Linked DNA regions of Oryzias latipes. The main gene of each other region encodes a partner of the protein of the gene in region 2 in a complex. Links are inferred from orthologs where the notes say so. Each region holds a gene or a part of one and is shown on either strand. Other genes may lie near its edges.

Region 1 (16,452 bases), about 2.8 Mb from region 2:
TGCTCGGGGGAAGTTACAGCACCGATTTCGTTGACGTCCTTCCCGAGCACATCACAGGTACATCACACAATTCTTTGCCACAGCCTGGGATGATGGAACCAAGTCCCGTTTTACTCTTTTGTCTTTGTTCTTTCCAGTGGCTGGTGAAGTTCTAGAAGAGCCAGACATTCATTTGATCCTGGAGTATTCAGCTGGATCTAGCTGGGGCCGTTATACGTCACGCAGAGCCAACAGGTCTTTTGTTTTGATTTAAAGTCAGAAACAATATACTCTTGAACCTCTATAGTGTGTACAAAGGCATTTCTTTGCTTTTAACTCAGCTGATGTTTGTGTTTTTTGTAGATACATAATTCACAGTGATAACCGGAACCCCTATTTGTCCTCTATGGAAGAGTTTGCTAAGAAACTCAAAGACTTTAAACCAGATCTGTTGGTGGTGGGTGGCCTGCAAATGATGGATAACTTTCCATTCCAGTCAGGTCAGTCAAACGGCCGCCACATCTGTATGTTGGTTTTATTTTGTCTGTGTCCCTTTAGTTAAGCTTTCTGTCACTTCTACCCCCTGTTCTCATCTGTTATCTCTGGTTGATTATTTCTGTTAAAAGCGTCCCTCTTTGTATTCAAGCTTTTCTTTTCTCTTGCTTCATCTTCTCTTCTTCTTATCTGTCTTTCCTCCATTTTTTTTCTGAGTTTGTAAAAACTTTGTGGTTGTGGTTTTTTTTATTCCAGGTGAGAGAGATGCTCTCCTTTCTCGTTTGTCAGACCTGCTCTCCTCTTCCTCTCCTCAAATCGGCATTCATTTTGAGATGGCCAGCTTTGTTGAAGAAAGTATAATGGAAGACCTTCTGCACTATGTCGTCTCCCACGTATGTATGACAGGATCTTTTTAGCCACAAATGTGATCAAATGTCTTGTTGTTACTCATGAAAGTGCAGAGAACAAACAACACAGTGCAGTAAATAGGTCAGAGGAAAACTGGGAACTGAGTTTGGTGTGTTTGGGCAAACTATTTATCTACATTTGCAAACAGTCGCATTAAAAAAAGGTGAGATTTCCCTATATTTGAATATTAACCACTTCCTGTTTGGTCCTTTAAACACATTTTTTATGAGCAGTCGTGCTTGCCAAACCTTTAAATGTGTAAAAATGTTTCTTCTTCCTTTAAACAATGAAGTCATAATTAATCATTTTAATCAGTCTTCAGTGGAGCTTCAAGTTCCTTTGGGCTTGTTTCAGTCTGAGAGCTCTGCATTCCTCAGGACTTTTCTAGCAGATCTCATACAGACTCTCCACTTGGTGCTTCAGTTTTATTTATTTTTTTCAAAAATGAGTTGGATTCTCTGATTAAACGGACCAGACGTCTTCCTGCCTGCTTAGTCCTGTTTCTGGAAACAGATGTCGTCTTTTGGAATGCGTCCGACTGCCTCCGTTGGATCTGTGATTTTCAAATGCCAAAATAAAAGTGTCACCTCATGAAGTTAACTTGTATAAATATAATTTCATTTTAAAATATGAAACAAAATGGCCATTCCTGACTGCAAAGTGATGCTCCAAACATGTCCCTCCTGTGTGATGTGCATTAAATTCTGATTTTATTGTTTTGGTTCTCTTTTAAAAACAGTCAATTCAGTAGTTTAGAATGTATCTTTGAATAATTCCAGTTTGACAGTTTGTCTTCTCTGTGCTTTTCCAGGCAGACTCCTTAGGAATGAATGAACAGGAACTTCCAAATCTCCTCAGCCTCCTCAAAGGCTCCAACATCACAGTGCTGTCGGATCCAAACCCTCGTGTCGCCACGGTCCTCGACCAGATGAGGGAGGTGTATCGAATTCTCAACCAACGCTACAAAGACGCCAGTACGGAAAGTGACGCAAAGGGTGCTAAAAGGAGGGGTAAGCCGTTGACCCGCCTCCACGTGCACACGCTGGCCTTCCAGGCCATGATCGTGACACGGGACTCCAAATGGAAAAACACCATGTCAGCCACGGCAAAGGCCTCGCTCACAGCTAACCGCCACGTCTGCGGCTCCAATGACATCGACCCCAGCAAGGCGAGGCTCATCATGGACGACTCGTTCTCCGTCAGCCAACGAGAAGGAAGCCAGCGCATCCCTTTGCAGGAGAACAGGCCCGTAAGCTGTTGGGATGAGGACGACTATGAGATTTGTGTGGCCCCAGTGCTGGTGTGTACCGAGGTTTACCAGACTGCAGGTGGAGGAGACAACGTCTCTGCTGCTGGCCTGGTCTTACAGATTTAAAAAAGGAAATAGGGTTTTTTCTGTTTAATCAATGTTGGCAAACCATGTGACCCTGGTAACTTGATCAAAGTGTGGCTCACTTCCGACTTTGGGTACTGATGAATCTGTTACTTCTGCAGCTGATGGTCCAACCTGTCAATAATAGAAACTTCTTACAGGTGAGAAAAGTCCATTGATGGTTAGCAGTAATTGGTGATGGAGTGAAGCCACCATCTTTTCAGTCTCAAATGTATGTAGGATGGAGGACAGTCAATGGAAAATACACATTTGCTGCTCAGCTAAAAACCTAAATTAAAAAATCAATGATATGAAAATGTAAAACGATTAAATTGATCCAGCATGTTTGCCGGGTCACTGCTTTCCACCTTTAGACTTTTTGATTTTCATAGCTTATCTTTTTATATTTCTCTGACACCTTAAAAATGTAAACTTTGGTCAGGATGATATAAAGGAGGGCTGAGGTTTGGGGTAACATTGGGCACAAGTTATAGGTTGTTTTATTGGGCCAACATGTGCCCTGTGTGGTTCTTTTTGTGTGTGTGTGTGGTTTTCTTTTTTAGTAATTTTTGCACAACTTCTCCTTTGAGATCAATTATCCTCCCACTCTTTAAACGTGGGCTGCAGCTATGCAACAAGGCCTCAGAAATGACTGAATCCAGTGTTTCTTGGCGTCATGCATATCAGGTTTTGAACAACCCTTTGACCTCATTTATCTATGAGCTTGTTCTTTTTTGAATCCCACTAAGCTTCAACTGATCAGAACGCTTTGACCTAAAGATCATCCTCTTTCCTGATCTTGAGCCCTTTCTCTGAAAGAAAGGAGGAACATGGTGGAAATTTCCTGTTTTTCCTGCTATATGTGAAGCGTGTGCATAATATTGTGGGCGTGTTAGTGTTGGGTGTAAATCTCTGCGTTGAAGTTGTGTGCAATAATGCAGAGAGACCACTGCAGGGAGCTGATTCTGATGTCATTGTTTATTCAATTTTCCGTCAGCTGCTCTCTCACTCTGACTTCTTTCCCTTTTGTCAGTTTTTCACCTGAAATGAACATTTAGTTGGATTTGCTGGAAAACGGGCTGCTTTTCTGTCATTTTTACTTGAAGTCATCATTTGACTCTTGAATCTTTGTGAAACATGGAGATCCGCCTGGATCTCCATATTTCCATGTTCCACCAGGCCACACTTGAGTCGTCTTATTTACAATTGAATCTCCTTTGCAACAGAACTGTTGTGCTTATCTGACTTTTTTTTTTTTTACAACTGTGATTCTTTTTTGATTGATTTTGTTTCAAATCTGTATTTAAATGCTGACTTTAGCACATTTCAACTGTGCCTCCCCCTCTTTATACAAATAAACATTCCATCATCAATCCAGTTGGGCCTGTTTCCAGAACTACAATAGTCAAGTTGACCATTTTTTCCTTAAATAATTGTGCCCTCATAAAGACTGCATCTGCAAGCTATTTGAGCCTTATTCTGTTTGTTTCTGTTTGAAACCCAAACGATAAAACCTGTCCCAGTAGACGTATGTTTTATCTCTTGAGCTCTCTGGTCTTAAACGGTTATTAGATTTGTGTTTATTTTGACATTAAATTGTACTGTACACTAAAATCATGAACATAGAGGGATTTGCTGGAATTTGTTACTAGACTTCTCAGACTTTCCTGTACATCAAATAACCCCTGTTTTCTGACGGTCTTGTAAATGTTGGAATCATGTTAATCATGAAAATCACCTCAGATAAAGTGCTATGCTCAGCAAAAGTCACTGCTTTTTTTTTGTTTTTTGTTCCATTCTGCTAGAACTCTGTTATTGAAGAAAATGTCATCATTTTAACACCAATCTTTGCATTTTGATTACAAAGTTTAGTTTTTTTTTCTTTCAACCTAAGCTTCACGTTCTGTTGCACACAAGCCACAGAGTTTCCATCTTCGTTGCAAATTTAATCCCTATCATTATTTCTACATCTCTTTAAACGTTTGCTTCTCTATTTTTGGAACTTGTTAATTCATCATGGCCCTCTTTTTAACCTTTCAAATCAATTTAAACTTCCAAGATCTGTTAAAAATAAACATTTTGAATAATTTCTGAAGTTTGACAGCAATACAGAAAAAACAAAAATTAATATTTATTTGTATTTTGGCCCAAACACACTGTTTTTCAGCAGATATGCTGAGAAATGAGGAATGACTGCCTACGTGTCGGGGTCAATGGTCAGCTGATTGATTAACTCCTTGTAGCAGATAAGGTTCTTTTTTTCATCAACCAGTGCTGTCAGCATTTCATTGGTCTCTTCCTGACTGAAGGCCTCACCTGTTGAACACAAGCATTGAATGAAAATATTAAACATTGATCCATTAATTTGTTGTTTTCCAGCTCACAAACTACTTCAAAGCTTCTGCTTTACCTTCACTTTTCATGTATTTTGCGAGCTCTTGTGGTTCCATGTATCCCCTCCTGTCTTTGTCTAAAACCTGGAATCATAATGCATTTCTGGTTTAATGAACATTGAAGCAAGGTAATAAGGTAACATTATGCTCAATGTTAAATTATCTCCTTGAGGTTTATAATACAGTATATCAATTTTAACAAAAGTTTGTATTCTCGATTAAATAGAAAAATCAAGAAACACGTCAGTCACAGGAACCACGGAATCACTTTGCCTTGCATCCCTGAAAATGCGCGAGAACTGAAAAAAACATGTTCTAAAGAAGAAAAGGTTTACAGCGTGTCCTCTTGGGGAAGAAGACAAATGTCATTTGAAGATTAAAGTTTCACATTTCTTCAGTTTAAAACATTTATGTAATAGGTAGGTTAATGAAAATTAGCTTTAATGGAAACTTGAAGAGTTAACCAAGTGAATCGTGACTTACATTATTTCAGGAAATACACAGTAACAATTATGGATGATTAGACATGAAAACGATGCTGGAACTCTTTTAAAATGCAGGTCAAATAAAATGTGATCGTTGCTGCCTCAGGAATCCTTTGAGGTTTTATAGTCTGTGGTGACGTGAGGTAGGATACAATCTACCAACAGAGATCTCAAGTAAAAACTCAACCATACTTTCCATCCATCTTCTAATCCTGCTATTCCCAGTTGGGATCACGGGAGCCTACCCAGCTTTGACACAGGATAATTGAATCTTCAATTATCCTGTGAAGCATGTTTTTGGACTTTGGGAGGAAGCTGGAGTGCCCAGGGAAACAAAGCAATCACCAGGGGAACATGCAAACTTTACCAGGGCCTTAAGGAAGTTTTACCATTAATTTTCTTTCCTTTACTGTGGCTGCAGGTAAAGCTGAAGAAAGTTATGTGCAGTCATCAGACAAAGACGTGAGACTGTCATTCCCCTTAGTGGACGGAGATCGTGAACTATGGGTCTTGGCGATACAGTGAAACTGGGTGTCCTCTCACCTCAAACGCCTGACGCAAATGCTCTTCAGGAATGGGAGGAAACCTAACAAACAGAATTAAAAATAAAGATTATTTTTCCCGTTTACAAATAGAGCTTTGCACAATTTTCCAAAGTAAACAGGAGGTCCCAGTTAGTCTCAGAATGTAATGGCATGGCAACTATAGTGTAATGAAGATCTTTTTGAGGCAGAGTCATTGACCATGCAATGCTGAATGCTGAGGAGTGATAATGAGGGGATCAGTTGCTCTCAGATAAAGGTGTCAAACTCCAAGTTGCTCATGCAATACAACACCACATACAATGAAAAGTGGGTTCAAATGTTGAATTTATTCAACCCAACAGCACAAGAAGATGTTTCCAAATCTCGTATTGAAGGAGATCACATATTTTTTTGTTTACAGTGTTTTTAGTAAAGTCTGAACCGCCTTGCCATTGGGTCTCTCTAGTACATTATCTGCAGCATGCTAGGTGATAAATGACAGTTTTATTTATCATCATAAAAAAATTGTGTCAGCTGTACAGAAAGGCTAACATGAGTGTGTTTTTCCACTGTTTTTTCTTTTCTGAAGCAGACAAAAAAAGTTGAATGAATTTAAAATGTGACTGGAAAATAATGTAGAAAGCAGAACTTTCTTACTTGTTCTCCATTATTACTTTGGTCATGACTGGTAGGAACTTGTCCAAGTGAACATATCCCATATTGTCCTCCTCCACCTGTGTGAACAGAATTTTGTGACAAAAGTTCTGAAAGATGTTACAAAACAAGAGAGTTAATCAGAGTTAATCAAATGTAATTATAACAAATTTATATGTATTTTTTAAATGTTCTGAATGTGGTGTTTTACATCTGTGAAGATTTTTCAATCATAAATGTTATGGCAGGATGACACAGTTCTTCAGGGTAACTGGACTTTTAAGGTTTATCCGGAAGACATTTCTGCCAGTAGATTCTTCAGTTCTAACTATTGTTAAAGAATTGAATGCTATTTATATGCTGACTATTTTGAAGGTGTGGCAAAATGTGGCTTTAAAATATATTACAACAATCTATATGAGGCAAAATTAAACTGCAGGGGGGGCCCTGGGCACATAAGTGTGTGAGGCCCTTTCAACAGTCATTTAAATGTTTTATCTTTCGTTTTTACATCTTTTTTATATAAAATAAATTACACTACTGAAGTCATTGTACCAACCGTGGCAATACAGCAAATAAGCCTGAAATCAAGGCCTGACTGACTAAAAGAGTGAGAAGTTGCGCAAATAGACGGTCCGTGCTTTTCATCAATGCTTATTTTTATTTATTTTTGTGATTCTCTTGGACTGCTGCTGCGCAATGATCAACATGCGCAAAGCGCGTAAAACAAGGATTCGGCACGCACTAAAGTTTTTAGGTTAAAACAATGCAACAGAGAATAAAGAATTGATACAAAAGCGGCTGAATCAAAAAAAAATTAGCTCTTAAGTTGATTCTGCGGGTCAACATATATTTTCTGTAAAATCAGCGATACGACGTTACAGTCAGACCACGCGACACCTAATCATCCTATATTTGCTGCTCCAATGATGGCCAAACGCTCCTGAATGAGGAGGTACAAGAAGGGGGTGAAGGCTCCAGCTGTCCAGATATGGACAGAAACAGATGGAGAGAAAAAAAAGCGCACGGAGAGATGCGCAAAAAAAAAAAAAAGAAAAGAAATTTCAAAGTAAAAGTTTGTTGTACTTGTAGGAAGGTCTAGAAGAAGCAAATGGCACACTATTTTGCCCGCCTGCGAGGAGGGCGGAACTTACTGACCTCATCCACGAAGCGATGGATGTCTGCTTTGGTGGGGAAACATCCCAGCGAATAGATGATGGTGCTGACCTCACTGCAAAACAACATTTTCGGAGTGGGCGCTGAGTTACTCTTGACTTGTTTGAGTTAATGAAATAAGTTTGGGATCTTTAAAGCTCACCGGACGTCCACGGTGTTGTCAGCTTTGTGGTCAAACACGTGAAAGGCTGCGCGGATTTTCCTCTGGATTTCTGATAACCAAAGCACAAATAGACTGTATTCATCTAATTTATATATTGAAAAAAATAAATGAATTGTAATAACAAAAACTAAACAAATTTTAAACCAGTAAAGAAACTCTGACTGACCTGCTGTTTCACCGGCTTCCGCCATGTCTGCCTGGTGTTGTCGTGTTGCTTAGCAACCGAGTGACACCCTACTTAATATTCTTTTACCAACAAAAAAAATGTACTGTTTCCTTAATAACCTAATTAATTCTGAGACACTTAATGACCTATAATGATATCTGTTTGCATATTGGATAAATAATTTTTCCAACTCATCAAGTCTAAAACTTTATCTGAAAAAGCTTACAGTGGGGCAAAAAAGTATTTAGTCAGTCACCAATGGTGCCAAAGTTTTACTACTTAAAAAGATGAGAAAGGCCTGTACTTGTCATTATACCTCAACTATGAGAGACATAATAAGAAAACAATTCCAGGAAATCACAGCGTCTGACTTTTAAAGAACTTTTTTCTCAAATTATGGTGGAAAATAAGAATTTGGTCACCTACAAACAGGCAAGATTTCTGGCTCTCATAGACCTGGAACTTCTTCTGTAAGAGGATCCTCTGTCTGCCACTCGTCACCTTAATTACTGGCACCTGTTTGATGGTTGTCTGAAAATGTATGCTTGTCTATAGAAAATACACCAGTACACAACCTTAAGCTGTCTAAGGACACCAGAAACAAAAATGTTGACCTGCACCAGGCTGGGAAGACTGAATCCGCTAAAGGTAAGCAGCTTGCTGTGAAGAAATCAACTGTGGGAGCAATTATTAGGAAATGGAAGACATACAAGACCACTGATAATCTACCTCCCTCTGGGGCTCCCTGGAAGATGTTCTCCCCCCGTGGGGTCGGAATGATCACAATGAGCAAAAATACACAACCACACAACCACACAATTAGACCTAGTGAATGACGTGCAGAGAGCTGGGACTAAAGTAACAAAGACTACATCTGTAACACACTACGCCGCCAGGGACTCAAATCCTGCAGTCCCAGACATATCCCCTTGCTAAAGACAGTACATGTTTGCTAGAGAGAATTAAGATGATAAGATTATTCAGAAGAGGACTGGGAGAATGTCCTATGGTCAGATGAAATAAATAAAACTTTTTGGTAAGATCGATACTCGTCGTGTTTGGAGGAGAAAGAATACTGAGTTGCATCCAAAGAACACCGTACCTGCTGTAAAGCATGGGGGTGGAAACCTCATGATTTGGGGCTGTTTCTCAGCAAAGGTACTGCTGATCCGTGTAAAGGAAAATTTTAATGAGGCCATGCATTGTCAGATTTTGAGTGAAAACCTCCTTCCATAAACAAAGGCAATGAAGATGAAACATGGCTGGGTCTTTCAGGATGACAACGACTCCAAACATACTGCCTGGGTAACAAAAGAATGACTTTTTAAGAAGCATTTCAAGGTCCTGGAGTGGCCTTGCCAGTCTCCAGATCTCAACCTCATAGAAATTCTTTGGAGGGAGTTGAAAGTCTGTTTTGCCCAGCGACAGCCCCAAAACATCCCGGCTCTAGAGGAGATCTGCATGGAGGAACATTCCAAAATACCAGCAACGGTTTGTGAAAACCTTGTGAAGACCTACAGAAAACATTTGCCTGCTGTCACTGCCAACAAAGGTATATGTATAACAAAGTATTGAGTTGAACTTGGGTTGTTGACCAAATACTTACTATACACCATAATTTACAAATAAGTTCTTTGAAAATCAGACTGGGATTTTTCAGAATTTTTTATTTTATTTTGTCTCTCATAGTTTAGGTATATCTATGAAGAAAATTACAGGCCTCTCTTATCTTTTTAAGTGGGAGAACTTGCACTATTGGTGGCTGAATAAATACTTTTTTGCCCCACTGGATATTTAGTAAAATTGTATTATTACAGTCGGGATAGGCTCAGGCAGCCCTGTTACCCCAAAAGGGAACAAATGGATTAGAAGATGAATGAATGAATGAATGAATGAATGAATGAATGAATGAATGAATGAATATATTATTGGGGCAATCTGATTTCATTTTTTTATTTATTCTTTGAAGTCTATTATCATTTTATCAAGGGAAACATGAATTTTTGTGCCACACATTGAATCAGGAAAAGCACATCAGTATAAATATCACCTGAGTAGATTCCTTACAGATGCTTGAAGGCATGCAGAGACTACAGTGCATTCTGGCTGCATTTATGCTGGATATTACCGAGACAAGTTATCATCAAAATGTAGTAATGATTAGGAAACTACTGTTGTGTACTGCACAGTGAAAACACCGTGTATGAAAAGTATGACCAGAGATTTACTAGTGAGACAAATGATGAATAAATAAAGCATCAAATCTTACCAGAAAATGTGCAATAATGATAATGATAGATTTCAATGCTCCTGTGGGGTGTTTTAACTTTTAGAAATTAAAAGTTATAGGAACAACATCATGCATGGAAAGCAAAAGATGACTTTTCATTGTCTGGCACACGTTTGACAGCTTAGAGTGGACAGTGAGTCCTCAGAACCAATAAAGCCCTTTTTTTGGGATAAGGGAGGAGGAAATCTTCCCAAGAAGAACATTTTCATAGAGTTTCATATTTCTGGTTGTCCCTGGTGTACAGGGACTCCTTCCTGTTCTTCTACAGGGGCGTCCTCAATTTGTTGTTGATTATATTTATCTATTTGTTGTATGTCTTTGTCCGCCTGTGTTTCCTGATTTTGTATTTCCTCCTCTTGAGGGTGAAAGTCTTCCCGAGGATCCTCTTGCTGTTTGTTGTCCACTGCTCCTGCATTTTGCTCCTCTGTGATGATGGCTGATTGCCTGTTCTCCACAACCACCTCCTGCTTCGTTTGAGGTATCTGGTTGATCTGTGAGCCCTTTGAGGTAGCAAGTGTCATATAAAGTCATTGCCAAAACAAACAAAATGGTGTATCATTTTAAAAACCAAAACAAAATGTGTGTTGATCTGGAAGTACCTGTGTGTGAGTGAGTGGAGACAGCAACTCAGAGGGGTCCAGCAGCCCATCATGGTTCAAATCCTGAGTCTGGAGTAAGAAATCCACCGTAGACACTATCTAAACCACCCAAAGGGATGCAAATATGTGGTCAGAAAGGAAACTACACCCAAATACAATGACAGCTCTAAAACACCAACTAATCCAGGGGTCCACAACCTGAGGTTCCGTACCCACATAAGGCTCCTTTATCCCTCCATTGTGGCTCTTTGGCTTTGAAGAAAAATGCTAACGATTTGAATAAAAATATTTTTTTGTAGTTGTGATTGATTTGTTTTAGTTAATATAGTTTATTTCATTTATTTTTAGATTTTTAAAATAATGATGGGAAAAGGTTTCGTGAGAGGCGTTTGTTATTAGAATCATTTTAAAGCTCACATAGGCTTTTTAAAATTGGATGTTGTGATGTTTATATTTAATAGTAAAAGGAGAGAAAGGATGAAAGTTCACCAAAGTCATAATGATAGAAAAGTTCATGTTTGATTGACTTTCTTACATTTTTTATTCAAATAAATCTGCTGCCGCAGAAGGATCTTATTTAATAAAGGATGTATTTTATTTTGAATGGAACTTGTTTGTGCTGGTGTCAAAAGTAAGAAATGATATACAAAAAATTATAAAACTTTTACAATTCAATTTTTATCACTATCTAAAATTTAATGGTCACAAAAACATAAATCAAGTGTATTTTTTTACATGTGTCAAATTTCTTTTTCAGTTTGATCCTTCATTAATGGAGTTATGTGGGTTTTAATAAGCTTACAAAACTCAAAAGGATTTATGCTAGAATAACAAGCAAACATATGTTTTCTATGCAACTGTAATTGTCACTTTAAAAAGTTATAATAAATAAATGATGAGTTATTTAACATTAAGGAGTATTTACATTTATTTTTCATTACATTTAGTTACATGTATAAGTTATATCTGGCCCTTTGAGGACAGCCACTATGCTGATGTGGCCCTCAGTGAAAATGAGTTTGACACCCCTGTTCTAAACAGTGCAGAGGGACTTTGTGGCTCTCATTGGCGTTCAAGAAACTGGACCAAATGGTTCTATTATAGGGTTAAAGGTTGCAGACCCCTGATTTACACAAAGTCACTCCAGCTCACCAGCTCGCTGGCATCCGCTTGACCTGAATGATGTTTGCTGTAGTCAGAGAGCAGCTTCATCATCTCCAAACCATCCAAGAACCCACTGCGATCAAAGTCATACAGACGGAACAGGAAGAAAACCTCTGAAGCAAAAAAAGAACACTATGAGAGACGCTGGATGCCAAACTCATCTGACACTTTAAAAAAAAAAAAAACACAATCTCTGAGCTTTGGTGATGAAAGCATGGAGCAGTTTTGTCGTCTGAAAACCCACGAACCTGAACAATTTTTACTTTGCTGGAATTGAGATGCAATATGGAGGCCATAGTACATATGACCATATAAGGAACCCAACTGTTGTCTCCTACAAGAAGTCATGAGGTTTGCTTGTTATAAGAGATCAACGTATTCATCTGAAGGCTGTGAGGTTTAAATGATGAACAGTTATAAACTAGAGTCAAGAAACAAAAATCTTCTATTTATGACACATTTTTCATCCTTCCAGAAGCTAAAACGACTTATGTGAAAAGTTACCTTCTGTATTGTGATCTAAGCTCATCTTCTGCAGGTTTTTAACATGTTTATTGGTTGTTAAAATTATTATTTCTTAATATAATTATCTCTTAAGGGTTGTGATTGAAACTCCAGCATTTTCTCTTAAACATGCGATCAGCTCTTTAGATGCAAGTCAAGCTGCCACAACTCAAAAGGATCTGTTTTAGTTAGCACTGACAAAACAACAAAAATAAATCAAGGTTGAAAAATGAGCTGCTTTTTAACATTTTTGTCAAAGTGATTGAATGGGAAATAAATGTCAACTGTACACTTTTGGGAAAACAAATAAACAATTATCTCTCAGCTCTGCATTAGAATAAACAGAGTACCTTGTTCCCAGGAAGTGATCTCTGGTCCTCCTTGGTGGTTTTTCAGAATAGGCTGAATGTAACTCTGCAACAATCTGTGGCGACACACAGCACGGTTTTTATTTTTACAAAAAAAAAATCTTAAAAGTATCAAACAGAAAATTCTGTAGATTAATCCAAATCTTACACGCATGTGACCAAGAGAGAGCATTGAGGATTGAGGAAGAAGCTACAGTCAAAAGAATTTGTTTCTTATTTGTTCTCCATTTAAAGTGAAACATTAACTTTATTGTGAAATAATGGCTTGCTTTAAATAAGAAACATAAAAGAAAGAAACATTAGGAAGAGTCAAAGTTCAGAGAAATGTGTCTGTATAAAATTCCCAACAGTTTTATAGTACAAGAGCAACCAAAGTTCAAGAGAGACAAGATTGTAGCTACTGACTCAGTCTGTGTGCTGACTGAAGTCTGACAATATTACCATTAAACACTAAAGACTAAAAAGAATAATGACCAACATATATGGAAATGTAGAATACTCTTATGGGTTTTGTTAAAGATCATATTTGGTGTTCTTATTTCAATTTTTAAAATGTTCTCCAGTCCTGAAGTGGGATTCTGTAAAGTCCTCGCAAGAAATGAAACAAAAATCAGCCTCATTGCTTCTACTTTGAGTCAAAGAAAATCTGATGAGAAGCCAAGCTAACCACTTCAAATCCATTCAACATGTCATTATAGTTTGAGATAATAGTAAGCTTGGTTCTCCAGCATGGCGTTCTCCCTGAGATCAGCTGTGGTTGACTGCTGCAGCAACTGTCTGGCTGTACAAATGCATAAAACACTGAAAAGATGGGGTGGATATGAATCCAAAATACTCAACATGGCCACTGAACAGTATAAAACTTGATGCATCTTTAAAGGTCCTTCCAGATTTCTTCTCTACACACTTCCATTATTACTGTAATGATTACTTAGGAATGGCAAGAAAAACAAATTTAGTGTTTTATAAGAACAGGTTAAAGGGCATCATTCAGCAGCCACTCACCTGTGTTCCTCCTCTCTGGAGCCAAAAGGATTAAGTAAAGTTCCAGGAGGGAGCTGACTCTCCACCGGTTCCACACTGTGAAGATAAACACATCAATATGAGCCCTATTCCATCCATCAGCTGGAAAGATTATCATGAACACGGGTGTGTTTATTTAATCTCATGTTTATTTATTTAAATGAAAATATCCACTAAGTGTCTTCTATGAAGACCAGAATTTGTTTGTTGAGGGTACAAATGTGAGAAGATGAGCATCATCGTGGTAGGAAGGTGAGCTTACATTTGCCCTGGAGCTGAGCTGCCTGGGCTCAAGAGCAGGAAGACAGACAGGACCCATTGCAGCAGCCGGACAGGATGGAAATCCATCTGTGCACCTGAAGGACAAACAGGCCACATCATCAAAAGTAAACACAAGTCTCTTGAGATCAAGTTTCACCAGCAGAGGGATGTTTTTCTAAAGCCTTCAGCAGCTTTGTTTTCCTCCTCTTGTCTTATGTGTGCAGGCTCCTGGCACCGCAGCACCATCGCCTCCTTTCACAGCAGACAATGAGCTCCCCCAGCACCGATGCTCTGACAGCTGGGCACCCACACAGATCCTTTAAACACCACTTCTGTTCCCTTTCTATCGCAAAAATATTCCTGCGCTGGATTTACCTTGACGTTGTCGCAGATGTGCTCTAACCGGGATGTCCTGGTGGAGAAAACGAGCATACCTTTAGTGTTCGCAGTGTAGACGTTCACGGGCGTTGGACGCAACCGGTCATAATGGACTCATGACTGCAGGATTGTCGCGGAGCTCAACGCCACGCTTCCCGGTCTGCACTGCGCAGTATGGGCTGCGTTCTTGTTGCCATGGAGATTTTTGGGTCAAATGACAGGTTCCACGTGGAAGTAAAGCGAGCTAGCGCGTTTGCGACGAGGCTGAAGTTGGCGTCCGATTTTTACTTTGTTCTGATTCTGCAGTTAAGGGAAAAACTATTATTCACAATAAAACAGGTCTTGTGAGAAAGACGGTTTGAAACTGTCTGTCTAAATGAGCCACTTGTGTTCACAAATTAGCATTTTTTGTGCACAAACAAGTATTTTACTATCATCACTTCCTACTATTTGTGACCACAAAATACTAAGCCGTGCACAGAAAACAGGCAACTTTTTATGCCCATAAAATAATAATTTTTACCCCCCAAAAATTAAACTGTGCGCATTTCTCACAAATTAGAACATTTTCATAAAACAATAAATGTTGTTTGTTGCTGTTTAAAAGTTCTTCCAATGTACTGTACAGACACATTCAACTGCCTTTGTACAGCAGATGTTTTTATTGGACCAACCAAGTTGAATGAGTTGAATAGATTTTCCTGTAACGTTTTTCAAATCGGAAGCTAACTTCCTACTGGTGGATTGGCGCTCGTTTGTCCCGGTTTGCGTCGTGCGCCACGTCCTCACCGACACCCACCACAGGCGGGGTAAGAAGCTCTCAGACGGAGCTGTTCTGTGTTAAAGTTCAGTTTCAATCTCCTGAATGTGAGATAAACCTAACAATGATGCAAAGTTGGAACACTTAAGTTCTAGTGTACATTTATAGAGGGAATGCCTCCACGCTCATTTTGTTGCTGGTCACATCATTTCAAGGCAGTAATGTTAAAAAAGGTTTATTTTTGAATCTGCCTACTTTAACTGTGAAATGTCTCATTCATCAGTACATTTAACTTAGTATTTTCAGTCCAGACTACTCTTTTAATTACAAACATTTTCTGCTGTTTCTACTTTTCATATTTCTTCCTTTTATTAACCTTCTTTATTGAATTAAGTAATAAACAGTTTTGTGCATTCCATCTGTTGAAAGATGCAGTACTTGTATTTATGGTACTACTTATATTTACTTATATCTGATTACTTTACACAAGGAAGGAAAAAAATCTTGAAATTAAGAGATTTTACCCCAGCAGTTCTACTCTTTGGCCATAAGGTGTCTCTGTAACCCTCTATTTTGAAAGAATCTTGTGTACTTTTTATAGTTGTGCACAACGGTCAAAAAGATCAGTGTTACTAACTTCAGAAGTTACCAGTTTAACCCTTGTGCTATCCAAGGCACTTTGACATTGGGAGTGCGATAATCTAGACCCACTAGACAGTGCGCTGAACTTTTATCTTCAATTATTTGTGAACCTCACTGGTGTCCATGGATTACATGAAATTCAATTCAATTCAATTTGTATAGCCCAAAATCACAACAGCAGTCGTCTCGATGGGCTTCGAAGTAAAACATGACCTCAAAAGGATCAAAAGAAATCCTCTCCACCTTTATCCACCATATCACGGTAGGGAGAACACATAAATGGTCATCTTGACCTCATAGGATAGCACAAGGGTTAAGAGCAAACACAAAATTTTTTCTCATAAAGGTTTTTTTGTAATGTTTCAAATGTCTTTTGTTTTTAATGGTTGACAACTACATATTTAAAATAACTAGTGCCACACAGAGGGACTATATTTTGTTTTACAATGAACAAAAGTATGTAGTTTAGCAAAAATCTCGAAATAGATTTGAATTTTTATTCAAACTGTGATGTAGGAGCCCAAAAGACCCCAGTTTTTTTTCTTTTTCTTTTTTTTTTAACATTTCCTTAGTAAAAACACAAACCATTCAACTAAATAGACCTTACAAACGGATTTTATTTTAGAGCCACTGGTTAATAAACATTAT
Region 2 (16,769 bases):
ACCTTCAGCGATGGAACCTAAAAGATGAGAAATAAGATTCTCAGAACTCACCAAGTGTTATAATCCATCGTCTTTAAGTGGCTGGCAGCATCTCCTTCAGCTTTTTGTTGTGCTGACCTCCACCTGAGTGGGACTCTATTTCACCATCGCTCTGACTTTCTCTACTTTTTCCTCTCCCCCATCCCCCTCCTCCCTCCAGCGTCCACCTGTGCAGGTGTTTTAAGTGCCTTTTCTCAGGCTCTTTGCTTCAGGTTAGTTTGCAGCTTCACACTTGAAAATCTTTCCGGCATTATGTGTGTTTCTTTTTGTGTACCATCACACAAAGTGTTCTTTTAAATCTCTCCTGTATTTGGATATTTTCTGACTTTTTTCCTGCTTTTGAGGAATGAAAAAGGTGTTAAAAAGAAGTGAAAATCTGCATTATTTTAATCACACCCGGAATAACTGCCCCACTCTCGATCTGTCGCCCATTGACTAATTCTTTATTGAGGGGGGATTTATCTCTTGTAACACTGGGTGTGTTGGGGGTGTAGTCTTACCAAGCGGGTCAGACCAGAAGAACTTTGTATGCTGTCACTGTTTAGATACATTTATCCCTTGTCTGGACAGACCCACAATTGAGCCCTGTGCAAAGGGCACAGGAGCCGTCTCTCCAGAGTCAGACCGCTGTCTGCATGCCCTGTAATCTGAGAGCTCTCAGTGAAAGAACCACCTTCTCCTTCCTTTTGCTTCAGCTGCAAGATACTGCAGCCTGCACAGGGACAATAACTTCCTCCTGTATTATTGATGCCGCAGGGAACAGCGATCACTCAGTGCAGCAGGGCTCGATTCACCATGGGAATAGTCAATGAGAAACTGGATCTGCCCCCCCCCGCTGGAAACAGCAAATCGGCCAGGTAATATAGCTGTTGTGATTGAAATACACAGCTGGAGCTAACTATTACACTAACTTCTCAGTTGATAGATATACCAAGAATAAATCAATATAGTATAAATTCTGCACTTAAGTAAATTATGATTCAAAAATAATATTTTTTAGGTTACTCTGTTTCAATGTTTCCTTTTTAGCACTTTAAAAGGCTGGAATGACAGATATTTCTAGGTTTTTTTTTTTTTTTTTCAGTCTTGTCCTATGTGTCCTTTTAAAGTAAATGTCCAAAAAATACAATCATCATCATCATCATCATCATCACCAACCCTTAGCAATGACTATTATGCAGATACACACAGATTTTGTTCATCCTGGCTCATTCTAAACAAAAAGGCAAGACTTTTAATTTTTCAAATGGAGATTTTAACATACGTTTTTCATAAAATAACCATGCTGAAATCAAATATGCTTGTTTAAAATAATTGAATATTAGATCTTGGTGAAGGCAGCAGTTATAAGAAATTATTTTATCAAACATTAGTACTAGTAATGCCAGAACTCCTAAGTACACTCAGAACAAAGGAATAGCAAACATCTTTGAGGAGAAAAAAAAAATGTAGGGAGATTATTCTCTTTCTAAAAACAATGCTGCTCCATCTTAATAAAAAACTAAATACCCACAAAAGGTTGCCTCTTCATAACTGTACTCGCCCTCAATGTGTACTGACTCAGTTCCATTATAATGTTCTAAATTTTCAGACAGGGGAAGAAAAACCTTCAACGTATTTGAAAGATAAAACCAGCCTTTACAGAAAAAAGTACACAGAAAAAAACATGTCAACTGCTACAATAAAATAAATTATTAGTTAATTAATACAACAACAGGGAACAAATAACAGGCCCAAATTCTTGTTTTTCTTTTAGTTTTCAATGAATCAAATTGTTCTGGTTATTTTCTCCATCCTTTTTGCACAACAGTGTGCCAAAGCAGATGCTAAACATCTGTAACATGGTATTAAATACAATTACGGTAATCACAATGTAGCTTCAGCGGTGCAGATATGTCAACAAAACTTCAATTCTATACAGATAATGATTAATAAAACATTTATTTTGAAGCATTTTTTTTCTTTGCTACAGAGAAAATGTTAACTATAAATGAAACTATGAATTATTTTGAAGTAAAAGTAATTAATTTAAAAGAAAAGGGCAAAATCAAGACCCTTGAAAGATTTATTTTTAAGTTCAAGAGGTTCCTGATTCACATCGGTTTTAAAACATGGATACAACCATTAGTTTGTTTTTTTAATCTTTAAATTTGAGATTTTGATTTTACTTTAAAGGCTTGAAGCTGAGCGGTTGCAGTTATTGTACGTAGCCTGTAGAGGACAGTAAAGCCACAAAGATAAACTTACATGTGTTGTCTGTTTTAATGGATCATTACTTTAGATTTAAATTGCAGCAAATCCATTCTTATACTATAATTTGTTATGAAGCAAACTTATATTTTTTATGAGTCCACTCTGTAAAATCATAAAGACATTACAATTTTCTTTTAATTCAGACGTGAGATTTGTCATTTCACTTCCAGAAATCCAGGTTCTGCTTTCCAAATAAGAGATCTAACAGAATCTTATCTATGAGACTTAAACATCGGGTTTTCTTCACCGGTCAGCAGCAGATGACTTCGGGCCTGCGGGATACACATTTGCATTACATACACAGTCTTTTCATTACAAAATAAATAAATAAATAATGAGGTAAAAGAATGACTAACCTTCAAGATCTCATTCTTTTTGTATGCAATGTTCCTAATGGCAGATTTTCTTCTGTCCAAATTTTCCTACAGACAAAACTTTTTGTCAGTTATCCTTTTTCTAAAGATATGGCAAAAGTGAGTTTTAAAGCAGAGAACACAGGAGTGTGAAACATTACCTCACTTTTGTTTGCAATTTCACTGAGAACATTGTGGTCCATGTTTGGGTCTGAGAGAACAGTGAAGAGCTGAGTCTGTGACCTTGCCAGACTGTCCGTCAGGTCCTGCAGCTTCCTCCTGAGCTGTGCGCTCCTCAAACCCACTTTTTCACGGGTTCTCTCAATATTTGGAGTCACTGAATTGTACAACTTTGCCTTTTCCAGTTGAAGCTGTGTGAATCAACATGGGATTAAGAAAAAACAAATAGAATATTAATATTTTCTCGACTTCAAAACAATGAATCGTGTGAAGTGGGATTTTTATCTTTCACCCCGTTGAATTTTTGTTCTAGTGCTTCATTTTCTAATTTCAGGTCCTCAACGGTCTTTGTTTCAGGAATTTTGATAGATTGCTGTGAAGAAAAGTAATAAAGTGACACATTACACTTTTTATTTGAGTTTTTATGTACATTAATTTGAATACACTTCAATAAGTCACACTGATATTTAAAAAACAGAAGTATCAACATAACAATAACCTTATTTTTCAAGTGGAAATCTGCTTTCTTCTTAATGTTGGTCTTCTGAACTTTGGGGATATCATAAACTTGAATTTCCTTCTCTTGTAAAATTTTGTTCTAGGAGGTGCAAAGAAAACATGCAGTGATTACTAAAGTATAAAACTATTTCATTTTTGTCCTGAACACATTTGTTTTATATATCTATTTTAAAATAAAACCTACCTGGATTTCATTTATTATCTCTCTATTCTGCTCCATTAAAATATTGACTTCCTGAATGCTGTTGAAGACTTCCCTCATTTCCTCTTGGAAAGCCACAATGTGGGTGTCTCGTTCCAGTTCACAATTCATGACCAAACTTGTTTCAGTATTTTCCAACTCTTCTTGGAACAGCTTAAGACATTCTTCATATTTTGCAGCGGTTTCTGCACAGATAATGTCAAAAATGGGACTTTTGAGTTCATTTCTAAAAAACACAATTGTCTTAAATTCAGCTAAGAGTTTAGTTTCATTTACCTGTGACTTGCTGCTCCCAGTTGCTCCTTGTTTTAGTAACCTCATCCTGTAACTGAAGATAAAAATTAATCACAAATTTGTGTAAAACGCCTCTTAGAGGTATTCTGGGAGTCCCTTGTGTGTAGTATGTAATGCTCATCATTTCCTGACAAAATGTTCGTGTCAAATACCGTATGTGGGTGTTGTTTTGAATGGTGCTGCCAACATGTAAAGTAAAACAGCTTGACAGTTAGAAGAACTCTAAATAGAGTTAATAGGTCTGTTTTATAGGACTAGATGTTACAGTGGTGGACAAAATTGTTGGTACCGCTCAGTTAAAGAAAGAAAGTCCACAATGCTCACTGAAATGACTTGAAACGTTCAAAAGTAATAATAAATTAAAATTTCTTGAAAATTTATTTCATATTTTGTTGCACAACCTTTTGAGGCAATCACTGCAATTAAACGGTTTCTGTATTTGTCAATGAGCCTTCTGAACCTGTCCACAGGTATTTTGGCCCACTCCTCATGAGCAAACTGCTCCAGTTGTCTCAGGTTTGATGGGTGTCTTCTCCAAATGGCATGTTTCAGCTCCTTCCACAGATGTTCAATGGGATCCAGACCTGGGCTCATAGAAGGCCACTTCAGAATCGTCCAACGCTTTTCTCTTAGCCATTCTTGGGTGTTTTTGGCTGTGTGTTTTGGATCGTTGTCCTGTTGGAAGACCCATGACCTGCGGCTGAGACCAGGCTTTCTGACCCTAGGCAGCACATTTCTATCCAGAATGCCTTGATGATCTTGAGATTTCATTTTACCTTGTACAACTTCAAGACACCCTGTGCCAGATGCAGCAAAGCAGCCCAAGAACAGAACTGAGCCTCCTCCATGTTTCACAGTAGGGACAGTGTTCTTTTGGTTGTTTGGTTCATTTTTGAGTCTACGAACATAGAGCTGATGTTTCTTACCAAAAAGCTCCAGTTTTGTCTCATATGTCCAAAGGACATCATTTCAGAAGCTTTGTGGCCTGTCAACATGCATTTTTGCAAATTCCAGTCTGGCTTTTTTATGATTTCCTTTCAACAGTGGTGTCCTCCTTGATCGTCTCCCACGAAGTCCACTCTGGCTCAAACAACGACGAATGGTGTGATCTGACACTGATGTACCTTGATCTAGGAGTTCACCTTTAATGTCTTTGGAGGTTGTTCTGGGCTCTTTGGATACAGTTCCAACTATCCGTCTCCTCAATTTGTCATCAATTTTCCTCTTCGGTCACGTCCAGGGAGGTTGGCTACTGTCCCGTGGGTCTTAAACTTCTGAATAATATGTGCCACTGTCTTCACTGGAAATTCCAGCTGCTTAGAGATGGTTTTATAGCCTTTACCTTTACGATGTTTGTCTATAATTTTGTTTCTAATGTCCTGGGACAATTCTCTCCTTTCTCCTTTCATTCAATTAAAGGACATACCTGAGTTCATCATGACCCCCTGGACAATTAGTTCTCAGTCTTTTATGGAGGTACCATCATTTTTGTCAAGTCCTATTTCATTAGTTTGTATTTTTAAATAATTCTGTTAATCAACAACTCAAAAGTAATGGCTGATTTTGATTATTTAATTTTCGATAAATTTTAATTTATTGTTACTTTTTAACGTTTCAAGTCATTTCAGTGTCCACAGGAACATATATAATATATATAATCACGTATAATACAGCACTGAGCAATTACCATTTTATGAGAAAATAATAATTTAAAATTGGGATGTTTTTCTACCTGAATAAAACATGTTTAAAATTAAATATATAAAGAGCCAAATTTTGCACTGAAGACATTAAAAAACGTCATGAGAATAGGCTATACGTGAGACATTATGACCCAGCTAGGGTTTTACTTTTGAGGTCAAAAAGTTTGCATTAAAAGACACAAAAAATACAATATTCTTTTGCTTTTTATTTGTCTGAAACTGGGATCGCGACCCGGTCCCGGATAAGCGGAGGAAGATGGATGGATGGATTGTCTGAAACTAAACTGAACTTCTTTGGATCAATGAAGAAGTCTCTAAATGTTAACATTTTTGATGGTCTACGGGTTTATAAACCTGAAGGGTCTAAAAAGTTGACACAACAAATACCCTCAAAGAAATCTGGCCGTACCACAGGTTTTTTATGACTGATGTCAGTAGTTGCGGAACTTCTGTTGGATATTTGACATTTAAAATAGTTTAAAACTGTTTATTAGAAAGCCACACTAAGCAACTCCCATCAAGTTGTACAGATAGACGCCTATTATTGTATAAAAACATTTGTGTGCGTTACAAACCAGTAGCCGTTGTCTTTCAAAGTCGTCATTGTTGAGCTCCTGTATGTCTACCATACCAGCTTTGATTTTCTTATGAAACTCCATCTCCAGCTGATCCAGCTCTTTCTGAAGCTTCTTGATGGAGACCAAACCCTCCTCCTTCAGCTCGGAGATTGTGCTTTGATGTTCACAGAGGAGATGCTTTATTTTCTGCTTGTACACCTGAATAAGAAAAAGAACATAATAAATGTTTCATCAGTCTAACAATATTCCATGCTCATACACCCAGAATCTGAAAGAATGAAGGTTTTGAATTCCACTGAGTTTGCTTCCTAAATATCCAAACCTCCCAGCAAACACTTAAATGTAATGAAGGTCATTAGTAGAAGGCAGAGAAATCCTTTCTGGTTAGTTTGAACTATGTAACCCTTTGTGGTTAGGGGTCTGACTGAGGTTGAGGGTATAATGAGGCAACCATAGCTGGGCTATGAAGCCAGGGTGAGTAAATAAACCACAAACAACAGAAAAGTGGCAAACATATTATAGTAATATCAGGACTTTAGGTCAGCATTATTTACGAAAAAAGAAAAACAACATATTCACTTATCAGACAAGAAGACCAGCTTAAATAAACACAGGCAATTAATACAAAAAAACACCCCCACAATTCCTTTCATTCATTCATTCATTCATTCATTCATTCATTCATTCATTTACTAAGCCGTTTTGTCCCTTTCGGGGTCACATGGCTACTGGAGCCTATCCCAGCCACTTGTGGGAGAAGGCAAGGAGGCAGGGGACTTCCTGGACAGGTTGCCAGTCAGGGCCACAAATCACACACCCAACAATTCCATTTCAACAGTTAACTTACAGTCCACAAACTGAACTTACTTTGATCTCTATGAGGTGGTGCTCCTCGTCCTCCTCCAACCCCTTCTCCAGGATTTTCTCCTCAGCCAACACCTCCTCCAGTTTTTTGGCAGTGATTTTCCCAAACGTGTGAACTTGATCCCTCTCCAGCTGAAAGTAGTTTCTCTCTTCCATCTCCCTGTCCAGCTCTTCCTGAAGGTGAGCAATGTACTCTTCTATCTAAAACCCAGAAATACGGGTAATCGTTACCAAACTTTTCCACCAAAGGACGCTACTTCGTTAACCAAGCTAATATGGCTGTAGGTAAATTTATGAGAAAGTCAACAAATATTAGAGAATTATTATGTTAGAGGGTTAATGCTTATGAGCATTTAAGATCGAAATGCAGCACAACAATGCTGACTGGATGATGTTTGGACACCACTGACCACAAATGAGGGTACCTTATGGTGCTCCAGGTGGTACTTCTGACTTTTGGAAATATATCTTAAATGTTTTGATTTCTGTTATTTTATTTTATTTTTTCAATTATGCTTCTCAACAAAGTCCAATAAATGCTTTCAAAGGGTTTTCTGGTATTGGTTAGAGGGAAACATTACATGACTGAAAAACATTTTCCTGTTGAAATGACTCGATATGTTTTAGTAGAGCTCATACCTGCTCCTTGGTGGTTTCTTCCTTGGTGCGTCCATTGATCAGAGTTTGCATGTTTGGCTTTCCTGACTTTTTGCTAGTACTTTTCCTTTTGGGTGGCTGAAAAAAACAAGTTCAACAAACGTTTAGTTTTGTGATTGTTTGTTTGTTTTTTCCTTAGAGAAGTTTGTTTGCATACATCGTAGCATAGAGGCTACAAAAGCTAATAGGTTGAATGTCACTCTAGATTTATAGAAACAACCATACTTTTTGTCATTTATAGAGGTACATTTACCATTGTTTACGCAGCTCAGATAACGCAGAAAGTCGGGTGGCGTTTACGTGTTTTAGGAAGGCAGCAATCATAGCCCAACAACAAGCATTGTTAAACATTCGTTCCCATAGCAACAACCGGAAGCTCGAAAGGTGGCGAAGTTTGGAACCGGATGTAGTTTTATTTTGAACTTTATTGTTCAAACGATTGAACAATTTGCAGCATGTATGACAGCTTTAGAGAACCTAGAGGTCATTATTACAATATATTGAGATGCTCTTTTTTAAGTTATACGAATAAATATTTCAAAGTCAAAATATCGTAATATTTTTGTGTTTTTTTAATTTACTTGAGACTACAATTCTACAATTTTTAAGACAATTCTTTTAAGACTAAACAGAAAATTGAATGTAATTTTTTACAAACAATTTCATTTAAAGCATATTTCTTCAAAATAACCTCAGGTTAACTGAACTCTAAATACTTTTTAGCAAAATGATTCCTCATACAGTAAAATAAAGTGTATTTTAATAAAATAAACTATTTTCAGAGCAGCACAAATCAATTCTTAATTTTTTAATTTCTATGCCACAGAAAATAGGGCTTCCCCAGCAAAAGTTCAACAGATATCAGAAATGTTGAACGTGATATGAAAAACGTTGTTTATTTCTCATCCAGTTTGTTTTTATTGACATCACAAGAAAAGTGTGATGTTTTTCTGAGCCAGGTACTAAAATTTGAAAAAGAATTGCCACAGAATCCTAGCTTTAAAGTGTTGATTAAGATGGGTGCAACATTTGAAATCTTGTTTTTTTATTTTTTAAACCAACTTATAACAAAATATGAAAAAACACATCAGCAAAAACATCAGAGTATTTAAAGAAACAGATACAGTGTATCATGAAGAATCCCTGTAACGTCCTCCTGGTTACAAACATGGTCGTGTTCAGGTGGGGGTCAAGCTAGATGGCCAAGGGGTGACAAAACTGTAGGAGAAACAAATTTGTCGTGAATAAAGCAGGACGGTTTGTCACGAATGAATTAGATCCTTAAAGGCACGCGCCTTCAAAAGTTATAAACTGAGTGATCCGATTACGACTATCACAAATTTGAGAAGCAGCATGTTAAATCACCATTTTCAAACATAAAGTTTATTATGGTGCATTGCATTAGTAAGTAAGTAAAATACCTCTGGGTGCCCTAATCAGGTCCTGCTGTTCCTTTGATAAATCTATAACTGTAAAAAAGAAATATATTCATTTAAAAATTAATAATTATATAGTTAATGAATACAAACAGCGAGCAATAATATAAATATTTGTTATGCGACAAGTTTACATGGAGAAAACAGACGAACAAGAGGACAATAAGTGTTAATGAAAGTTAACTGTTATCAACCAATAAAATAAGCCATATTTATGTAGCTCTAAAACAAAATTATTCCAAAGGGGGTTTTTAGCATTCAAGGAAAACTCCTAAATATACATTTTGAATAACTAAGCATATCATTAAGCTTTTGTAATGAAGTTCTACATCTCTCTTACAACACAATATCAACAAAAAAGGAAAAACTCACATGGAGATCTATCGCTTGTTTTGCTTTCAGCATTAAAAAATGATAACATGCATTGAGGCACCCATTTTTCTCCATACTGGACAATAGCTGACGGCTGTTTGGGTTCAATTATGTTTTCTTTCTCATCAGGAGGTGACATAGCTGACTTGGCACATTGTAGAACTTCTTCAGATGGTGGGACTGGCAAAACAAGAGGAACCGAGCTGGCAGAACATTTGTTAAAAAGTATAACATCAATTGGTCCTTTGAGACTTTTTAGATAAATCTGGTATTTTGCTGGACAGTTTGGGACCTGAAAGAAAAAATTATTAAAAAAAAACAACTTATCAGGTTATGAGCCGCAAAAGTATGAGAAGTGTGATTGAGCTCAAACGTACAGCTTTTGGAATGGGAACATCAAGTGTTGTGTCCTGGGGTGCTCTTACTGTCAAAACAGTTCGACCTGAAGGAAAACGGTAGAAGAACTTATATTTTTTAGAATAAAACACACTTATAGAAAAAAAATAATACAATTATTTGCCTATATGTGTTAGTAAAAATGACAGGCTTTTTGGCATTAAACTCTTAGAATAACCAGTATTACAGATTCAGTGTCAAGAAAAATTCACAGTATTTAAATATTTGTCTTTACACTGTAAATGCATTCATCTACAAATTTTTTGAGTATATCTATTTAAAATTTTAGCAAGACGTTATGAGAAATGTATGTTTGCCTATAGGCTCTTGAAGAGCCTATAGTGACTTTATAAACACGATATATAATAAGTTAAAGAGTATGTCATTAAATGTGAGTTGTTCAAGTGTGAAAGGTAATTTGACCCTGTAGTAACTAAGAAATCAGATGATTGCTTCACTATTCATCTGGCTCAACCTTTAGCACCAGCTAGGAGGCTCACACTCTAAGATCTATGCATCTCTCATCAGTTTTCCATCATGTCTCTATAGTTAAGAAATGTAAGGCATAAACCTGTAATGGTGATTTGGAAAGAAACCAGAATGAATTAAGACCCTTGGTTTACTTTGTGTTACCATGGAAATAATTAAAAAGCTGAACAGTAAGCCAGATGCTACAACTGGTTGAATGTCTTTCTTCCTCTGTTGACAGGAAAGAAGGATGACTTCCAGCACAGCCTGATATGCACCTCTTTCTACAACAACTGTCTGAAGTGAAGCATATGTCCTTTGGGGTTTGCCCTGCCTAACACAAAAGGAAAATCTGATTGTTTCACTGCAGAAAACAGTTGGTGTAGCTAATTGGAAGTTTGAAAACAGTATGTTAAGAATTCTATTTGAGGTTTATGCAATGTTCAGGTTTAAACAACAGTTTGCTCCTTTCCATGCATTAGCACTGCACAGTACATGAGGCCTTGTGTGTTGTTCATTGCATTATTTCACTGTGGGGTAAAGTTGCAGAGTAGCAATACAACAAAAGCCTTTAGTAAAGCATGCCAAAAACACACAAAACAAGTTGCAAACAAAAACAGAAGAGATATTTACCACAGAAGGAGTTGCAGATGTCGTCATGAGTCACATAAACTGAAGTTAAATTAAGTTAAAAAAAAATCACCAAGAAGACATCAATGGTTGCTAAACAATAATAAATATTAATATGGAAAATAAATTTGTCAGTATATAATGTATTCTCTAACACGTAAAATTGTTAAAATTTGAAATAAAAGAATGGAAATGTATGAATTTTAGTCTAATTTCTGAAAAAACGTGTACACCGTCCTCATAAATGTTGTGAAATAATGTGTTACATTTTAAGTAGATCATTGAAATCAATAAAAAGGATATTCTCTGTCGTTTTCGGTTATTTCCTTGATGTTTTGTTCAATACAAAGTTTCTGCTGGTCCAGAAAATGTTCCCTGCACTCCAAGTGAGACACCTCAGCCTTCAGCTTCATAAGAATTCTTCCTGCACTAGTTACATTTCTTCTTGGATTCGTCTCCCTTTAACAACAACAACAAACATGCAAAGTGTGTTAAGATGTGCAGTTCAAGCTAAGTAAATTATATTATAAAAACAATGTCATACTCAAGAATTTACACAAAGCACAATTAGTGCAGGAAGAGTGACGACTTACTGCCACTTTACATGGTTCTTAGATAATTTTCTGATAAGACCAATGCCCTCCAACACATTTGTGATGTCGTAGATTCTTCTCTTTTGTCCAACAGCCAGAGCACTGAAAGCCTGAAAAGAGGACAGGCAATTAAAATAAAACTGATTTATGTTTCCACTGACTGTGATCATTGGGGAATGAGCTAACTAACAGATTTTTAAAATCTGTCTATGTATTCAACATATTTAATACAGTTAATGTAAATGGAGAGTCGTTTTTCTGAATATATCATGTTGCTCATTTTTGTTTAACTTTGCCACCACAATATACTGCAAAAAATTGCCTTTTTTTTGTATCAAAATCATGTGGCAACCTTGCAGTTTACGTACGTGTCTGAGGTCCAGCTCTCCGTTTTCAGCTTCTTCTAGTAACTGGACAAACTTCGTCGTGAGCAAATGAAGACTTTTCATCTTCCTATCATATGCAGGAGTTTCCTCGTCTAAACAGTCGTCGGGATCCATGTAACTAGTAGCAAAACAAACAAATTAGACCTAGAACTTTTGAACGCTTTTGAACTAGCTTTACTGCCACTTTATTTCGCTAACTTCCTTTTTCCTTCAAAATAAAATTTTATATGTGTTTCAACAAACGTACTCCACAAACAAATGTCCGATTTACTCAAAGAACCGTGTAAAATATAGTGCATCTGGATGTTCTAAATGTGTCTTATACGTCCCTCCTATTTCATTGTTAATTTCACCCTCATTGATTGTAGAAAAATGTTTTTTGCTCTCCCTGAAAATGAATCGTTGTTGTCGTGGTGCTCATTTTATTGTGATACCTTCTCCCCGGAAGCAGTCTACTTTGGGGAAAGTTTTTATTTTCGGAATTTTTTATTCATTAAATTTTAGGTTTTGACTGCTTTATTTACAACTTTTTAAGAATTAAACAACTAGGCCTTTTATGTTTTATCAGACGTTACTGTAGATAATTCTTAATATCGTTATATATTAGATCAAGTTAAATTCTTTCTTTACTTTTTTTGTAAACATGACATTTATTAGATAGTACCACTTTTACTTTTGCTCTGGATCGTTAGTCTATGTTCATTTCTTAACAGATTCAAAAACAGTCAAGCACTTTTTAAAAATCAGGTCGCAGCTTTTTCTTGATGCTTTTTTTAGGAGCGGCGTTCAAGGTTCTTCTGTAAAAGTCAGGAGCACGTGACTGCGCTGCGCAGCAGTCATATGACTGATTTGGTTTGGAAGCTGCATGGGCTGATGTTTTAGCGACTGCCGCGGATGACGGTGGAGGAAGTCAAAGTCTTCCGTATTCCTCGTGGTTGTGAAGTTTGTGGATGTTTTGTTGTACTATTGTGAGCCTCCGAGATGCATATCGTGTTGTGTTTGCTGGCCGCTTTTGGGCTCGGTTCGCACGCTCAGTATGCTCCTGATGAGGTGACGGAACTACCCGGTATGACGTTCAAACCGAACTATCGTCAATGGTCCGGATACCTCCAAGCTGGACCCGGGAGGTTCCTGCATTACTGGTGAGAGGAAGCATCGATAGTTGGCAATAATGGTGTAATTATTTGTCATTTTATTCTGCTCTTACAGAGATTTTGTTCCTTTTTTCAGAGTTTGTTTTGCATTTTTGCTCACATGTCTCTCTAGTTCACAATATGCGAATATTTCTGTAACTTACTTTTCAACAAATGAGAAATTCTTAGTGGCTTTTTTGTTTTATTTTTTTCTTTGGGGTGGTGTATCCTCACTTTGACCATGTGTTTCTGATAATGTCACGTGACCCGCTATCTATGCAACTCCAATGTAACTTCAATCATTTTTGATGATCTCCTACTGCTATACTATTTTATGAAGATGACATTTTGAACAGAAAAATTAGTCTAAAATAAACATAAACAAACTCCAGAGATTTAGAGATGTTTGGACCAGAGCCATGAAGTGGGAAATAAACTCTGTACGAATTTTACTTTAGTTTTTATACATTATGTTTATGGTGCACAGCTAATCCAGACAGACAATTCTTTGAAAATTCAGATAATAAGTTATGAAAATAACTCCAAATTTACATCACGGTAGGTTTGTGACTTCTCAAGAAGACCCCGCCACCGACCCTGTGGTCCTCTGGCTGAACGGAGGCCCCGGCTGCAGCTCCCTGGATGGATTCCTGTCAGAGAATGGACCGTTTCACGTCAGCCTCACTCTCTGTGTTCCTAGCTTGATGAAGGGTTTGATGGGGCTTATGGCTGACAGGATTGCTCGTGTTTTTCAGGTAAACGATGATGGAACCACTCTCTATGAGAACCTATACAGCTGGAATAAGATTGCAAATATGCTGTATCTTGAATCCCCTGCAGGAGTGGGATACTCCTACTCCGATCAGCCTTACCCAATTGATGACAACCAGGTGAGCTATATAAAACGATACACTTTGGGGAGAAAAGTTTAGAGATGGCATAAAAAAATAAGGAACCACCATCTTTGTTTTAGGTTGCTGAAGATAATTACAAAGCCCTGCAGAGCTTCTTTAAAAAGTTCCCAAACTTCACCCAGAACGAGTTTTTCATCTTTGGAGAGAGTTACGGTGGAATTTATGCACCAACGCTCAGCCTCCATGTGGCCACAGGAGAGGCTAAAATCAATTTTAAGGTGAGTTGCTTCCTTTTAAAACGTGACGCCTTTTTCACTTCCGCAATGCGCTTTCAAATGAACAAATTTGCAAATTTGTACCAAACCACTTCAGGTACAAACTTACCTTGATATAGCATCTACTTGACAGCAAATACATACGTTTTTTTTTTTCATAGCTGGAAATAAATTCAGGCGTCAAGGGGTTAAATCTCATGTTAAGCTTCAAATATATGTTTTGAAATCTTGATGTCTTTGAAGGGCTTTGCAGTTGGAAACGGTCTCAGCAGCTTCGCTCTGAATGACCAATCCTTGATATACTTTGGTTATTATCATGGCCTCTTTGGAGAAGAGTAAGTGTCTTTTTGTACATCCTGTGTGCTGAGGAATTCTGTACAAAACATATCTATTTGTTTTAATTTTCATTAAAGTATGTAAAGTGTAATTATCTACAGAAAACAGAAATGATTTAAAGGTTTTACATTCACAAAAAGTATTTTAAAAATATTGGAAATTGTTGAATCTGTTAACTTTTTGCACTTATTTTTGTAATGTTTGAGTTTCTGTCTCTTTAAGGTCCATTTTATTCTGACTGATTGGAAAGATTTTAGGAAAAGACATACTTAAAAAAGAAATTATTTTTGTGTTATGACTAATTTTCTTAGATTTTATCATAGCTGTCTGCCTGTAGTATTCTGCGATCATTTTCTTGGGTTGAATTTTCAAATTCTGAGATGCTGACCTGCCCTACAGGATCGCATAAGATGATGTGAATTTACAGATTGGCAGACCTAATACACACTTGAAGAACACCATCACCCTGAATTCACTTAACAGTCAACTTACACCATACCATCTAAAATCCAGAAAAAATGTAAAAAATTAAAATAAAAAAAGAGACAAGCCCTTTTCTTTCCCTCCAAAAGCTTAATGTAAAATAAACTTAACGATTCAATTCTGTCATATCACATTTAAATGAAGGCTTTAAATATTTCATGCAGTGACTGTTGGTCTGTTTTCCATGCAGTTTGTGGCGCGATCTCAACATAAATTGCTGTAATAAGTCAAACTGTAACTTTTATAACAGCAGTTCAGAGACCTGTCAGACAATGGTAAGTATGCACTCTGTGAACACCATCAGCTTCCTGATTTTTTTGCAAGATTGGCCCCTGAGAGTCCATTTTCATTTCTCTTTGCAGGTAAATGTGGCCTTTAATATTGTGTATGAAACTGGTCTCAATGAGTATGCCTTGTACTTGGACTGTGAGGGCGGCCAAAGGTTCCACAGAGGATATGAGTTTGCCATGAGACATCTGTTTAAGATGTTCAAGAAACAACTGCACACTTACAAGGTGCCCTAGCAAAAGGCTATTCGCTTGTGTTTTTTTGTTTTATTTTGCTGCCTCACATTTTTTTTAATCAAAATCTTTTACTGAAGCTTCCAGGTACTAGAACTCCCACTCCGTCTCTTGGCGGAGTCCCTCCCTGCATAAACAGCACGGCTCAGACAAACTGGCTGAACAGAGGCGACGTGAGGAAAGCTTTGCACATTCCAGATGTTCTTCCCCTGTGGGATATCTGCAGGTACACACAGAAATCAGGAATGTTAGGAAATTCTGACACGGTCAGTCAAGGATAAGTGCATGTTGCGGATTTTCATTTCATTTGATTTTTATTCATAACAATGAGGCGTTTTCTTTAATTGCCTGCATCCCTTTGGTTGAAGAACTCTAATGCAGTGAAACTCTAAACTAAATTCAGTATGACAGTTAAAAACTGAAAAGAAAAAAATCAGCAGTATTTGATTCATTTGTAACAATGCTATGACTTGTTGTTATTCCTCCAGTGACGCTGTAGGAGAAAAGTACAAGACTCTGTACTCCACAGTGAAGGACGTTTATCAGAAGCTGCTGTCTCTGGGCCTGAGGTCTCTCGTCTACAACGGAGACACAGACATGGCCTGTAACTTCCTTGGAGACCAGTGGTTCGTAGAGGACCTCGGCATCAAGGTATGTGAGTCCTAGGGTTGGAGAATACTCTTTAAAATGAAAAAACCTGCACCAGGGCATTTGTGGAGATTAAAATTTCCTGATGTTAGGAGGTTTGCCCTTTTTCATTATCTCCAAAAAGCCTTTGAGCTGCTTGGATTTAGACTGTAGTGATGCATTTGAAGTATCTGCATTAAGTGATATCTTGATTAAATGCTTTAAATTATACCCCAACTTCTGCAAAGTCCCCAACTTCTCCAAACCGTCACTGATGCCTTACATTAAGCTCCTGTACACAATCATTATTAGATGATACCTTATGGTGTTTTGCCATACAACTTCTTACTTTGAAGGTTTTTCTACATCTTTTATCCATTGTTAAAATACTACTTAGGTATACATTTTTTGTTTGTTTCTAGCCCACCACCAGATATCAGACATGGCTTTATGAAGACCAGGTTGCTGGTTTCTACCAACAGTTTGCAAACATCACTTTCCTGACAGTTAAGGTAAGTTTTGTGCAGCTGTCCTGCTGCAGGTTAGAACCGACTTGTCATAAGTGTCATCTGTGTTTCAGGGTGCAGGTCACATGGTTCCACAGTGGGCTCCAGGTC

The links.
Region 1: growth arrest-specific protein 8 (region 2) and efcab2 share a complex: the UniProt entries of both Homo sapiens proteins name them as parts of the nexin-dynein regulatory complex. The link is inferred for Oryzias latipes from reciprocal best matches to the Homo sapiens genes DRC4 and DRC8.

Annotation. Positions count from the first base shown.
Region 1 is NC_019861.2:24,634,532-24,650,983, reverse strand, and holds efcab2 (EF-hand calcium-binding domain-containing protein 2), read right to left. Parts: upstream 8,153-16,452; 5' UTR 7,841-8,152; coding exon 7,816-7,840; intron 7,699-7,815; coding exon 7,629-7,698; intron 7,542-7,628; coding exon 7,469-7,541; intron 6,391-7,468; coding exon 6,314-6,390; intron 5,719-6,313; coding exon 5,676-5,718; intron 4,732-5,675; coding exon 4,665-4,731; intron 4,571-4,664; coding exon 4,452-4,570; 3' UTR 4,362-4,451; downstream 1-4,361. Other genes in the region: ADP-dependent glucokinase, read left to right, coding at 1-57, 138-234, 343-479, 730-866, 1,694-2,257; cgref1 (cell growth regulator with EF hand domain protein 1), read right to left, coding at 10,321-10,605, 10,705-10,803, 11,857-11,981, 12,723-12,796, 13,746-13,820, 14,026-14,111. UniProt on the Homo sapiens protein: Component of the nexin-dynein regulatory complex (N-DRC), a key regulator of ciliary/flagellar motility which maintains the alignment and integrity of the distal axoneme and regulates microtubule sliding in motile axonemes.
Region 2 is NC_019861.2:21,825,973-21,842,741, reverse strand, and holds growth arrest-specific protein 8, read right to left. Parts: upstream 8,118-16,769; 5' UTR 7,899-8,117; coding exon 7,896-7,898; intron 7,721-7,895; coding exon 7,625-7,720; intron 7,187-7,624; coding exon 6,989-7,186; intron 6,320-6,988; coding exon 6,119-6,319; intron 3,875-6,118; coding exon 3,823-3,874; intron 3,732-3,822; coding exon 3,529-3,731; intron 3,424-3,528; coding exon 3,325-3,423; intron 3,199-3,324; coding exon 3,118-3,198; intron 3,017-3,117; coding exon 2,807-3,016; intron 2,715-2,806; coding exon 2,649-2,714; intron 2,565-2,648; coding exon 2,505-2,564; 3' UTR 1,962-2,504; downstream 1-1,961. Other genes in the region: transcription factor E2F4-like, read right to left, coding at 8,832-8,860, 9,064-9,111, 9,451-9,742, 9,828-9,892, 10,948-10,991, 11,248-11,403, 11,538-11,647, 11,906-12,037; lysosomal protective protein, read left to right, coding at 12,905-13,065, 13,619-13,730, 13,812-13,946, 14,030-14,188, 14,429-14,520, 15,195-15,279, 15,367-15,519, 15,606-15,751 and 3 more. UniProt on the Homo sapiens protein: Component of the nexin-dynein regulatory complex (N-DRC), a key regulator of ciliary/flagellar motility which maintains the alignment and integrity of the distal axoneme and regulates microtubule sliding in motile axonemes.